2 linked regions of the Diceros bicornis minor genome follow. The protein of the gene in region 1 interacts with the protein of each later gene in a biochemical or structural test. Links are inferred from orthologs where the notes say so. Each region holds a gene or a part of one and is shown on either strand. Other genes may lie near its edges.

Evidence for each region. The genes of interacting proteins can lie anywhere in the genome.
Region 2: the proteins of EIF4E (region 1) and IPO8 form a complex in vitro, tested with the Homo sapiens proteins (2 studies listed by BioGRID and IntAct, with this or other methods). The link is inferred for Diceros bicornis minor from reciprocal best matches to the Homo sapiens genes EIF4E and IPO8.

The regions. Positions count from the first base shown.
Region 1 is NC_080747.1:81,778,382-81,785,791, forward strand, and holds the start of EIF4E (eukaryotic translation initiation factor 4E), read right to left. Parts: upstream 3,070-7,410; 5' UTR 3,055-3,069; coding exon 2,842-3,054; intron 1-2,841. UniProt on the Homo sapiens protein: Acts in the cytoplasm to initiate and regulate protein synthesis and is required in the nucleus for export of a subset of mRNAs from the nucleus to the cytoplasm which promotes processes such as RNA capping, processing and splicing.
Region 2 is NC_080756.1:32,523,028-32,530,232, reverse strand, and holds the start of IPO8 (importin-8), read right to left. Parts: upstream 3,263-7,205; 5' UTR 3,150-3,262; coding exon 3,066-3,149; intron 1-3,065. UniProt on the Homo sapiens protein: Involved in nuclear protein import, either by acting as autonomous nuclear transport receptor or as an adapter-like protein in association with the importin-beta subunit KPNB1.

The DNA.
Region 1 (7,410 bases):
ACTGACAAACTGTCATCTCTGAATACTGCATTTGAAAATCAAAATCACTGTAAGCTATCTTCTTAATTTCCTTTTTTCAGCTAGACTTAGAAAGTTCAGTCTTCAAGGTGACACAGATATTAAAATTAGAATATAAGCCATGCTCATGTCCACATTTCAAAAATGTCTCTATGACAAAAATGGAGCAGTTCACAGGTACCAGAAGAGCAAGGAAATTTCCAATATTAGAAGGCAAGGGAAAGTAGAAATTACTATTGCTAGAGCAATTATTTCACAGGTTCCTTGTTATATCCATGACTATTGTTACTTTTACTATATTCTTAACTTGATATAAATTGAACAGAATATTTTATAAAAATTTCTTTGCCTAAAATTTTCTATCCAAATTGGCTTAAGCTTACATAATTCATTTTGCATTTTATTCTCTGGAACTTCGGTGTGTAAACTGTGTCTGTTTCTAAGTTGAATTTCTCTAAGTCAAATAATTATGCATAATATTAATTCAAAGCATAAAATTTAGTGAAATTTGAATATAAATACCAGAACTGAATTTATTTGGTTTATGAACAAAGTTTGATATACTGGGTTCTTTCATTAAAGCAAAAACACACATATTAACTTGCAAGATCTGCTTGTTAATCAACAATTTTTGGTCAACAAAAAACACTGAATTATATAACAACATATTTGTCAATATGTATTTAAGCCTTATTCACTTTTAATAAATAAACTCTGCAATACAAAGCATGTTTCTAAAGGATAAAAAAGGAAACATTAGATCAGCTGACCATCCAAGTTGATTCCACTTATGAAATTAATTTTTAATTTATAAAAAAATTCAAGAGATACAATGTGAAAACAAGTAACATTATATACCTTCAGTTTAACTAAAGAAACCAAAATTAATCTCTTACCTTGAAAAGAACTACAAGTCAAAAAAAAAGCCCAACAATGAAGAATGTAGAATAAAGATAAAGCTACAAAGAAACAAGACCCACTGAGGCAAGACCGCCTGGGGAAACTGCCTTGCCCTCTTCACCAACTAATATTAAGTCTAATTTTGACTCAGCCACAATTCAAATGCCAAGACAGTAACAGGAGAGTATCGTTTATCCCAATGTTCAAAATTTTGCCATATTACCTGTAAAGAGGTAAAATGCTTCCTTTAATTTGCCCTGTCAAACTTCTCAACAAATTTACTATTTGTAAGCCATATCTTAATGTCACTGAACTCATACACATACACTTGAGAAAACCCACACGATAATATCAAATTGAAAATGACTGATGTTTTATATAACTTCCATAGATAAAAATTCCCCCAAACGCTTATGAAAAGTGGAACAAGCAGGAAAAACCCATGGCTCTTTAAGTGCTTATGATTATGCCTAGCAGAAAAGCAATAAGGAAACTCACAAGCGAGCTGAAACAGCAATGAACAAATATGCTTTCTGTAGGCTTCAGCAGGGATACCTCAATTGTAACCAATACTAATCAACTGCTTAAAAAAAAATTCCCACTATTTAAAATTGTCAAAAAGAATCTAAACTACTAACTTGTGGACAAGCGTGCATTAAAAGTACTAAAAATGTGCATTTTCACTAAAAATGAACACTTCAATGTTATTTTACATACATCCTCAAACTACTACAGTTTAACCTGGCTTTCCATTTTCACACACTTTAGGTTTTTAAGTTTCCTGCTCCCCAAACCTAAATGCAGTATCCAAATCTCTGGGTCAGCACTAGAACAAATTCTATACTGTATCACTGACCACATCACTGGCAATTAAGCTCTTTAACAGTTTACATTGAATAAGGTATAGAATCACATCTTGTATAACTTTGTATTTCTAAAGAATGCTTGGTTCAACGTCCTAAATATATCAGGGGCTATATTTACTAACTCAAACTAATCCTTCAACACTTTGTAGTTCTCTGCTGTTGAAACAAAACTGCATAACTTTGCAAAATCCAAAGGACCTAAATGTTACTGAAACTTCACAGAATACATTACTGTTTTATGTTTTGAGGTATGAGTCTTGCCCCTATTACCAGCTGTAATGCTTTTTAGTGACACTGGTACAAGTGAATAGCAGAGCAGATCCAGCCAGAAGTGGACAACACCCTAAAAGGGATTTAAATTAAAAGTTTACATATTTATCCTACGTCTTTAGCTATGTAGCATTAATGTTCTAAAGTCAGTTAATTGTATCAACTACTTGAGACAGTTTTGCAGTCAACCTGATTTCTAGGAACATAAATAAAAACTGGTACCAATTAAAGAACAAGTAATCAAGTAGAAAAACTGCCTTAAATCCGGGCAACAAGGTAAGGATAGTTCACATTAATGTAATGAAAAAGAAGCCTTTTTGTATTCTGTAGGCCTCTCCATGACTAGTTTTTGAAACAGTTATTAAAAAAAAAAAAGTCAAAGCAAATTGGTAAGCCATTATCAAAATCACAAACTACCACTACAGATACACAAAAATATCTGGCAACCAAGGTCTAGAACTGGTTCCAGAGTGTCAAAGGTTTTCTGGTTATTAACATAGCCCATTATGCCTCTAAAACAATGTCACTCAGATGTGACATTCCTAAAACGGCAACATAGGCCTAGAAGTTTCAGCGTCAGTGCTAATGCTGGCAAACTCAAACTATGACCAAGATACTCTCTCTCCTTGGGGTTAACTACCAATTTTCTGCTCCGGGATCAGCTTGCTTCAACCAAGTTTAAGATGGTGCCTACATTGAGAGGAAAGTGGGTAGAACAGATAAAGAGAAAACATTCAAAGGGAAGCTTAATTTTAAAAGTTAAGTTCTTGATTCCAATAAACCGCGCCTTAGAAGTCTTCCAGACGACAAGGACTCGGAAGAACAGCTGGATGTAGACCCATTCGCTTCTCTGAGGCGTGCGCACTGCGCGGAAAGCATGAATGAATGGAAGAGGCTCGTGTGAAACGCAGCAGGTCCGGCCGGCAACCAGACCGGCGGCAGCGCTCAGTAGGCCTCGCTCCTCCCCTTCCCTCCTCCATGACAGCCCAGGCTCGAGCATGGAGGGGCGAGGACAATGTGATCCCCCTTCTCACCACCACCACCACCACCCTTCATCCTACTCAGAAAGCTTTACCGCGCGACACGCGGCTCTCCTCCCCACCCCAAACCGCCCTCGCCTCCCCGGCCGCCAGCCCCGGCCACTCCCGGGCGCTGGAGTACCATGCGCTCGCCCCTCGGCGCCCCTCGGCGAGGTCGACGCTCTCCGCGCGTGCCGCGGCGCCGCTCCCGCCCAACCCACCCTCCGGCCACGCGCGCCCACCGGCTCCCCGGCACGCTGGTCGGTGAAGACCCGCGCGCGCCCGCACCCGAACCCCCGGGCGGGAGCTCAGGAGGGAGGGAGGGATAGGCTGCCCCGGGGCTCCCTCCTCGATCTCCTTCCAGGCCGGCTCGCCACCCACCCTCCCTGCGGATCCCGGCGCCCGCTCGGGGCCGGCCCCGCGCCTTCCTGTCCCGAAGGCACAATCCCCACACACCCAGCCCGGGGCCACGGTCTCCCTGCACCCTGGTCGACACCCGCGGCGCGGCAGGGGGCGCCGCCCCTCCCCCACGCCTCTCCCCCAGCTCTCAGCCCCCACCAGAACGTGTGCGCTCCACGCCGCGCCGCCAGCCTCCGGGGCGCCCCCCGGGGCCCGCGGGCAGGTCAGGCCCAAGAAGAGGGGGAGGGGGCGGCAAGGGGTAGCGTGCGCGCCAGGAACGCCGTCCCGCGGGGTCCCCTAGTCCGAAGGGGGCCGGAGCGCGGGGACCCGAGGGGGTGGGGGCCAAAGGCAATACTCACCGGTTCCACAGTCGCCATCTTAGATCGATCTGATCGCACAACCGCTCCTGGAGGGGGGGTGAGAGAAAAAAATGAGATTCAAACCGGATTGGCCGGCTACTGTCCACGTGACGGACGTGTCCGTTTGGCCCTGGCGGCGCCTGCGCAAGACTGCGGCTGCGTGAATGACCAGGGGCTTCTGGGAAGTGGAGTCTCTTTTCTCCCTCCCTCTGTCTCTCTTTTTTTTTTTTTTTTTTCTCTTCAGGGCAAAGAAGTTTAAAAAAAAGGCGTGGTCACGTGGTCGATGGGTAGGGTGCGCGGTTCTTGGCGCGGCGACGCTCGCGTGCTGGAGGGTAGTTTTCAGTCCTCTGCTCTCCCACCTGGGTAGGTGCTGTCGCACTTACTGCCAGGCATGCCTATTGTGCCCTTTGTCGCCCTGTCCTCCCATCTTCCCCGGAAGGCTCAGTACGCACAATAAGGCTTCATTTGTTTAGTTGCGGTCCTAGGACAGGTTGTGTGTTTATTTAATTTTCTTTTGACTTCCCACCATTTTCCCTTAGTTTCAAAAAGAGGCGGCGATGGAGAGTCGTTGTTTAAGGAATCAACCCTGCCCCGTCCCCGGCTCCGCTACCGGTCGTGGTCACTCGTTGCCATCTCTGCGAAAGGGGGTGGCAGAACCGCCCACCGTGCCCACTTGCCCCAGGCTGGGGGAGGGGGAGTGCACCCGACAGCTTTTGCAGTCCCAAATGCTGAGAGTAAGACCTCAGGGCTAAATCTTGAGTGGAAGGAACAATTATTTGGAAGGTCTGTCTTCTCGGTTGCACTATTCTGCTTTAACGTGAACAGAAATAGCCTAGGTCCAGGTGACAGCCAGGAAAGCCACTCCGGGTCCCGCTGACTAAGCCTTGGGCTGACCGTCAGGAGTCGTTAGGCCTGGTCAACTATGACTCTGGACGTTGACTCATTCTCCTTAGGCGAGTGACTTAATCGTTCAGTGCCTCGGCTTTTTCATTTATGAACCACAGATGATAATACACTTACCTCACAAGGGTGTGCTGTGGTAATGATTGTATCCAGCTTTGAAAATGCATCGGACTCTGTAAATGCTTTATAATAAGCAACCTCGTGCCTTCCTAAGGATCAGTTGCTTCTCCTGCTATTTTTTTAAACAATGTTTTAAGTTTTTCTTTTGTTTACGTTATCATGTACACCGTGGCAATTTTAAAATTTCAAGACAATTTTTTTGTTTATAGCTAACCTCAGTAGAGGCTTTAATATTCACGAAAATATTGTTATATTCACAACAATCTCTGGCAATTAGAAATTTATCCCCACATTGGCATCCTACATTTCCTTTCCCGCTAAGATAGTGTGCTATCGTTTCTCAAGACAGTGTTATTCTGCACAGTCTGATTATTAATACAACAATCAGTACAGATAAAAGAAATCTAGTAGAATGCTGCTATAAGGTTCTCATGAGGAAGACATCATATCATCCCTATTTGCCATACTTCTTAAGAATGTTAACACCAGAAGATCAATATAAGCAGGGTGCTTGTGCCTGCCTGCTGATAGTGTTGCCAATGCCTAGAGCTGGGTCATCGCTATTGTTGAGTACATAATGGTGGCTTGAGTTGACTCACACATAGTTGAGGCTGTGTGAGAACTCAAAACCATTGCCTGTTCATATGTTTTGGTTTACCTGGATATCAGAGGTGATTAATGAAAGCTTTTCAGTCAGTTTAGCTCTAGTAGGTTTAAAGTAGATGGAATTAAAAAAAAAATAAACGGATGAATGGATTTCTACTTAGGCAGACTGTTACTTAAACTATCCAAAGTAATTACAGTTGATCTCAGTGGTATTTTCTGTTGGTTAGAAGTAGTATCTGGTTATCTTCTTTGAGGAGAGAGCATAAATGTGCTATTTTTATGATGCTGCTAGATAACAGAGCAAAGAATTAAGGAGATTTCAGTCCCCTTATAGGACTGAAAGCCGGTGATATTCTCAAAACTTCTTTTAGTGATAACCTCCATTTTATTAACTTTTCTCTTGATCAAAAAACTCCCCACTTTTGTCTATCATCCTAGTACTTCTACAATACTTACATATACTCCTATTCTTTATAGCTTAATTTCTCTCCATTTTGTATACACTTCGTTGCATGGCACATTCGTGTGTGTTTGCCTAATATTGCCATTAGAGTCTACCGTGTTAAAGATTTGATGATTAGATTTTTATTTACGTGTGTATGTGGTTGTTTTGTTTTTGCTAATCTGAAATATACAGAGCAGAAATTTTATACTTTATTTCTCTATTAATCCACAAAAAATTACATTTGTTACCTTACTACTGTATTCATACTTATGCTTAAAGAAAGGGTAATAAAAAGATATATGAAATGGGAGATAGTATTGAAATTCTATTCTACTAGATCAAGTTATCTGGTAAATACATAACTAATGGCCCAGCATAGTATCATGGTAACTATTATGTATAAGCCTGGAATAATTGGTTTTCATTTAGTGTCTATAAGTAGTCATGATCTTTTCTCTACATAATGTATTCATCAAGCTAGTATATTACTAGTCTTTATAGATTTAACTCACGGTAAAACACTTTAAAGAATTTGATGGAACACATCAGTTGTTTTTAATCATGTATTTACCTCTTTTTTATTGGAATTTTATTTAGGATTTCTAGATAACCCAAGTCATTGTTTTGCTGGGTATCAGTACTAAACGACCATTTTTCTTAAAATGAGTAGGTTTTGAGGCAGAAAATATGAATTGCATAATGAAGTAAATGATCCTTAATATTGCAATATTGAATATTAATTTAGATATAATCTAAACCAACCTCTAACTAACACTAACATTGTTTTTTTTAAAACCTATTCACTCAGTTTTTAAACTTGGTTATCCTTTACTTTATGCTCTATTTTTTAAAATTGTTATTGTGACTTTCTACAGTGATATTCCTTTAGGAAGGACCTAAGATGATGACTTCTAACAGGACAAATAATCTTTTCAATTACAGTTGCATAGTTTAGTATTTAAGAACGTGAGCACTGATGTCAAATTATCTTGGTTCATAATCCCAGTTCTACTGCTTACTGTGTGACCAAACAGATTATTTAGTCTCTTTGTGCCTCATTTTGTCATGAGTTAGATGGGCATAATAATAGTACTTATCTTGTATAACTGGTTAGTGTGAGAAATAAATGATGTAATATTATATTAACATAAATTTCTTATTTCTACTTTTTAGTATACTGTAATATGCGTAACAATTCTTTCATTAGAGAACCAACCTAGCCTATTATCTTTCAGGATAGTCCAAGCTTTCAAAGTCAACTAACATTGGTTTTCTATAACATGCCAAGTCTTTTTCATATTGATTACTTCATTTGACCTTTATAACAATTATGTGAATTATACATTATGCCCATTGTATAGGTAAAGAAACAGACTCAATAAAGTTAGGGGACACATGCGAGTCCACACAGCCAGTGGTGAGCTCGAATTCAAACCCAAGTCTCTTGACTCCAAGATTCTTCCCTCCATACCATAGCTGCTTTCCTCTCGTAGGTTCTTCCAAAT
Region 2 (7,205 bases), on another chromosome or scaffold:
AAAAGACATTTCTCAATGATGTTTTTGAGGATATTTACTTTATATCCGTGAAGTTTTCTGAAAATAAGCAGTTGATCTGCTTAGCCACATTCTGCATTTTATGAGAACTCATTTAACACAAAGACCCGATGTCTTCCCATTTTCCGCCTCACCGCCCCCACTACATTAACTTTTCTGGTCTTCCAAAAGGCCAGGTTGAGGGCCTTGACTGAACTTGCTGTTCCCTCCATTCCTCTCCCAGCTCTTCACCCGGTTCACTCCTTCACAACACTTAGGTCTCTACTCAGTGTCATTCTTCAGAGAATGACTGCCTTATTTATACATCCCAACACAGTCTCTCCAGGGCTTTACTCTCTGTAGCACTTACGACCTGAAACTATATTATTTACTTGTCTATATCCCCACCAGAATGCAAGCTCTATGAGAGCAGAGTCTTGGACTAGTGCCTGCTAGAACTCGATAAATATATGTTATGCATATAAGCAAACTCTCTTAAAAGGCAATAAAAAGGACGCCTACAGATGCACAGAAAAGCAGGGATTGCAAAGCTTGGCAATGAAGGTACATATTTTTATTTCCCTATTGAGGCCACATAGAGAATGATTTATTAAAAGATGACACCTTTCTGGATGAGTTACTGGAGCAAGATATCTACTCATTCCTACTTCCCTATGCTGCTGCTAAAGGGACTTCTGGGTTTAGAGACAGTGAGAGATATGTACAGGATGCATTCTTAATATCCTGAGATAAAACTGAAAATGCATTTTCCCAGAGAAACAATATCACGAATACAGTCAAGGAACCAGTCGCTGGTAACAGAAATATGTTGGCTACACACAAAAAAAATAGCTCCAAATAAGAATTTAGCCTTTGGAACACAGGCTGTTATGTTTTCAAGTTGCCTACTCTTCTAAATGGCAATTGACAAATCAATCAGTACACTGTAGGAGCTGCCCCCATTTCCTATGCAGAGCATATTTGCTGAAGGGGGACCTAGACTAAAATAAATGAGCTGGACTCCAATCACTTAGGGTAGATTACCCACCTGTTTATCCAACAAAGTAGGATGTTACAGTGGTAGTAAAGGATAAGCATACAAAACCCCACCTTATAACCATGTTTTACTATAAGGTTATGCGACAGTATATGTTAGTCTTCTACTTACAGACAATTCAAAAAATATTTAATGAAAGCATATTATAATCCAAAGCATTATATAAAATATAAATGTTAAATGAGTGGCATAGGAATAAGCTACTTTGAGAAGTTGCAGAGGAAACTGCGGTCTATGATAAGTTACGTAGACATGGAGCAGGGCAGAGTGAGGATGGAATGGATTTGGATCGAAATATCATGAAGATAAAAAGAATTGGGTCCTAAATGTGTCTTCTAGTTCTGCAGGCTTTCCCACCTATCTTTTCCACTTCTCTAAAGTCGACTGCACTTATATACTAATGCATCAGAAACAAAGCACAGGCAGGCTAACAGAGGCAGGAAAGCACAACATGGGATCAAAGATATGATCCCTATTCACACTATCAAAGTAATAGTGATAACAGCTGGCCTCATTGTGAGGCGAAAGGGGTCACAAACAGGCCAACTCTCCTGTTCACACTAGCAGATTGCAAATTCAGCTCTTGCTTTGTTCCCCTAACCAATCCCTGGATTACTATTCTCCTAGCTAATCCACAAATAGTACATCTACTCTGCAAAGCCCAAGACAGGTACTGACACTAACTTCCCCCTCTTCTGAGTGACAGTCCTCTTTCCGAGGCACCAATACATTCCCTTTGGGCTTCTGCGCAACTCAACCTTCTCTCCGGAGTCAGTGTCTCCACTCTCCCTTTTATCTCTTGGGAATCCTGGATTCACACTTACTCCAAACTCCACCCAGATTTCCCATTAAAATAATCCCTTTCAAAGATTCACAACACATATCTGGACTTTAACGTCAACTCCAACCAGGGAAAACCTTAGTGAAGTCCTACAGAAACATTCACTTAGGACAGTTGTTCTCACACTTTAGGAAGCACAAGATCACCTAGCTAGCTAATTAAAACGTGATTGGGCTCCACTCACTGCGTTTCTGATTCTTTAAGTCTAGAGTGACTTAAAGTCTATGGGGATAATCTGCACGTCCAACAAGTTCCTAGGTGATGTTGATGCTGCTCATCCTGGGCAACACTTTGAGAACCACTAATTTAGGTATATTCCTTTACATTTTAAGGATTACTGCAACCTCAAACAGCTGTCACTCTATCCTGGGGGTAGACTTTAATTTGTACTTTTTAGTGAAAGGTCTATAATTCATTCTTACAGGTGAGGAGGAGAAAATAAGGTAGAGTTTGGGATCATTAAAATTTTGAAATATGGTGGTAAGGCTGGAATTAGGTCAAGGCTAGTTAGTAGGAATAGAGGATGGAGGATAAAAGAAAGTCTTACACATTTTAGCGTTTATAAGAAATCCCTCCAAACAAACATTACTCGACGTGTCTTTTGTAAAGCAGCACCACCATGAAAATTGCCTATTCTTCCTAGAGCATTTCCCGACAGCATTTCCCAGCGCTCCAACAAAATTCTGCCAATCAGTGTCAAAACAATCCTGCCAACCCCACAGAAGCAGGCGATGGGCAGGGTTACCCACAGCAACACCTAAAAAGGGTTGGGTCCGGAGAAAAGCTGAACTCAGATTTGAATTTTAAGTGAATTTTCCCACCCTCGTCCCCAAGTCAGCGTACTGAAGGAAAAGAAATTACACCCTGAAAACACAAGCAAAGCTTGCTAAAGCTTCTTTCTGCGGACCAGGCGGGCTGAATAAACTGCACTGGGGAAGGAAACCGACACAACAAGATGCAAAGGTGGCCAACAGGTGCGCGAGCTGTTCAGAAAAGATCCGGGGAGCGCCGCTAAACTGGAGCCGGGCCGGGGGGCGGGACAGGCCGAGGGAAGCGTCAGGGTCCGGAGCCCCGCGGGGTGGAGAGGGGGGCGCCGAGGAGGGAGAGCTCGGCTAGCCGGCGAGAGGCGCCGCTCCGGCGGCAGGGGGGCGCCGCAGGCCCGCTCCTCACCTGGTTGAGCTCGTTCTCAGCGGCGATCCGCAGCTTGGGGTCGATGGTGCCCTTCAGCGCCTGGATGATCCGGTTGAGGTCCATCTCCCCGGGTGGGGGCTCCGCGGCCCCCGGACCAGTAGGCCAGACTGCAGCTTTAGTTTTCTTCTGACCCTCTCAGCCTCCTCCTCCGCGACCCCTGGACTACCTCACGCCCCACCCCCCGCCACCGTCGCCACCTGCAGCCACTTGCTGCGCCACTCTGACTCCGCGCCCCCTGTCCTCCCTTTCTACCCCCCACAACTCGCTCTCCATTCACCCTTTTACGACAGCCGGTGGGAGGCGGGAGAAGTGAGAAGAGGAAGCGGCTCTTCCTTTACGGCGGCCTCTTCCCCCGGGCGTGATGCTATGGCCGCCCCCACAGGCGGCCGCCATGCTGTCGTACGGAAAGTGGGCAGCTTCTTCCCCGGAGGGAGACTGAACTCACTAGCTCCGGCAGGCGGCCGCCATGCTGCCGTACGGAAAATAGCCTCCCGCCGCTTCCCAGTGGGAGAAACGAGCTGGCTAGTGGTCTCTTTACAGCTGCTTCCAAATTAAGCATCTATGGAGGGAGTGGCACTTTTTGTTAGTCTGAGCACTGACTGGGCATCACAACTGAGCCTGTTCCAGGGCAGACTTGTTGGGACCTTGAGATTATCTGGCCCACAGAAGGACGCGGTCCCCTGGGTCTGTGGGAGCCATCATTTCATTCATTGACTGAACATTTGTTAAACATCTATTTTTGAACCAGAGTACTGAGATATTTGGGTACCACATTATAACAAGATGAATTCGATGCAGGTTATCTTGAAGGAACTTACAATCTGATAGAAGAGACTAATTTAAACAGATAAAATTTATTTACAGAGTAACTGTGGAAATAGATCATAAAAACTAGCTATATGCCTGAGGGTTTCCGAAAAACTTCTGGACCTTCTCAGAAAAGTAGTGAAAAGCAAGAAGGGTTATACGGTTTCCACCCACTGTGGCCATATCTGGCCCCACAATTTCAATGGCATAAAAATATTAAGGAGCTAGTTTTTCCTGAGGCTAACCCAGAAAGAGTCCTCATTACATTTAGCAAAGAAGATGACTGTGAGCAAAATACATCTGAGGGGATGTGATCTTTCCAGGAGCAGATAAGATAGATTTGTTCAATCAAGAGAGTAGAAAATATGTGGCAGAAAACTTGGCTTCCTGAAAGCTATTTCCTCTGCAGAGGCTGTAAGCGGGACAATGCCCCTCAACTGGGTGCAAACATGCCTAACAATATGTCTCTGATTGCTTCCAGTTTTGCCCATCTTTAATCCATTCTCCATACTGCCATCAGAGTTATGTTTCTTAAAGGTTAATACTGTCGTGTCCCTTCCTTGATGACATCTCATCAACATCAAGATAAAAAACAAAGTCCTTAGCACCACTTCAGAGTCTTTTGAAACAGTGTCTTTCACCTCCACACAGTTTCATTAACCCACTCTTTTGGACCTCATGATAATCTAAAACTCCTTGACCTCTGAAATCTTAACTCCAATATCTTCTTTTTAACTTAGGATCTATTCTTCCATCTCTCTCCCTCAATAATTCTACACCTGTTTTCCAACTCAATCACTTTTCCAATTCTCCTGAGTCTCCCCACTCCTGACCACACATCCTTCTTTGCTATTAAACACCCAATTCAACTTCTCAAGTCTATCCTTGACCCACTGTGCAAACTGATACCAATAAAAAGGTGTGTGCTTTGCTAAAACTCAACAATTGCATTCCTTGTCTTTGATCAGCACCATCTTCCATTCTCTCACCAATTGTTCCAACCCTCAAGACTCTTCTCAAATTCCCTACCCCTTCTCACAGAGCCCTGCAGAGATGAGCAAAGTCATCAGACTCAACTTGCTCAAACACAAATTAATCCCTGCTTACCCCTCCTCACCTCCTTCTCTCTAGTCTGAACCCAATCCTCTCCCATTTCCTCTGGGACCTTGCTCCATAAATCTCTCTCCTCTCTTCTATGTATTTTTTCATTAAAATAAATTTTAGGTATTATTACATGTTGACAATATGTAAAAGTTTGTCCTATATTTTAAGCCTCTTTCTCTCCCTCGATTCAACCTCGGCCTAACAACATTTCCCCCCAGTTAAAAAACTATCTTTCTTCAGTAATGCTTTCTAATTATTGTTCATTCTTTTTCATTCCAAAGAATGGTCATTGTCTTTACTTCCTTACTTCCTATTCATGCTTCAATCAGCTATCCCCAGGCTTCTGCCCTCATTTCCTCCACTGAAATTGCCACGCAAAAATCAACACTGATCCCTCAGATACCAAATGCAAGAGACATTTTCAGTTCTCAGATATCAGAGAGAGATATCTGACACTGTATTATATGCTTTTAAAAAAATATTTCTTTCCTTATTTCTCTTAAAGAATATATTCCTAACCCTTTGATTACTCACTTGATCGGCCAATTCTTAAACACTGGTGCTTCCCAGGACTCTGTCCTCAGCCCTCCTTTCTTTCTCCTCCATCCATTCTGCTTTAGTAATTTCATCCACCTATATAACTTTAACCATCAACTCAACAGGGACAATTTACAAAACTGCTTCTAACCAAGATCTCTTTCCTTAAACTAGATGTATCCAAATTTCTACCTGGATGTACCCAAATCCTTTAAGGCACATGTCTAAAACTGAACTCTGGTAGCACTAAAGATGGTTTGGAGTAGGGACAAACTTGATGCAGTCATTCCAATAATGTAAAAGGAGAGAAGTAAAAAACAGTGACACCACCAAATACGCTGGCAAGGATGCAGAGAAACTGGATCACTCACATATTGTTGGTAGGAGTGTGAAATGGTACAGCCTCTGTGGAAAACCAGTTAAACAAACTGTGGCACATCTATAACCATGGACTTCTACTGAGCAATAAAAAGGAATGATACACACAACCTGGATAAATCTCCAGAGAATTATGCTAAGTGAAAAAAGCCAATCCCAAAAAAGTCAAATACTATCTGATTATACTTATATAACATTCCTAAATTGACAAATCATAGAAAGAACGGATCAGTGGTTGTGAGGGGTTAAAGTGGAGGTGGGGACAAGACAGAGAAGTGGGTGTGACTATAAAAGGGCAACATGAAGGATCCCTGTGTGATGGAAACGTTCTGTATATTGACTGTATCAGCGTCAACATCTTGGTTGTGACATTGTACTACAGTTTTGCAAGATGTATCATTGAGAAAAATTGGATAAAGAGTATACAGGATCCATCTGTATTATTTTTTACAACTGCATGAGAATCTACAATTATCTCAAAAGAAAAACTTTAACAAAATTAAAAAGAGAATTGATATTCCCATGCAAACTTCATATGCTTTGGAAAGACTCAGCGAAAACAAGTTACTAAAAAACAATGCTGTCAAATTAGCAGTGTCCAAGACAACCGGAAAACACCTACAAGCATCTACCATTCTGCTCTCAGATTTCTTTACAAGTGTTTTAAAATAGCTTTCCCTAAACTATAACTTATGTTTAACTTACAAATGGTTCATTGTTTGAGTCTCCTTTTTTTTTATTACTTTGCTTAATATGAGGATGTCTATATTTACTGATATCCTCTACCATGTTTAAGGTAGAAATTTGAGCCAGCTATGTTGTCTTGTATTATCATGGTTTGCATATGCCTTACCTCTCTGCCTGTTTCTTCACCTGCTTCCAAAAGCTGTCATGACAACTAAATGAGATAAGCACATTGCTCATGCTATATACATGCTCAATGTTAACTATTATCATTGTATTCTATTTAACATGAGAGAAGAGACACCTTATTCAACTTTTGATGAATGTGACATAGTACGACATAGTCTCCCACTATGCCTGGCACATAATAAGCAATAAATAAGTACTGGTTGAATTAATAAATGAATGCATGTGAGAGAAAAATAAGGGGTCTGGAATAGGATATCCACAGCAGGAATAAAAAAAGACAGATATGAGACATTTCACAGGTTCAATCAACAGGAATTTGTGACTGATTAGATATACAAAGTAACAAAGAGACATCAAGAATGATTCTCCAAGTTTCAAGCTTTGCTGACCTATAGAAGTCATTAGCAAGGGAAAATGCAA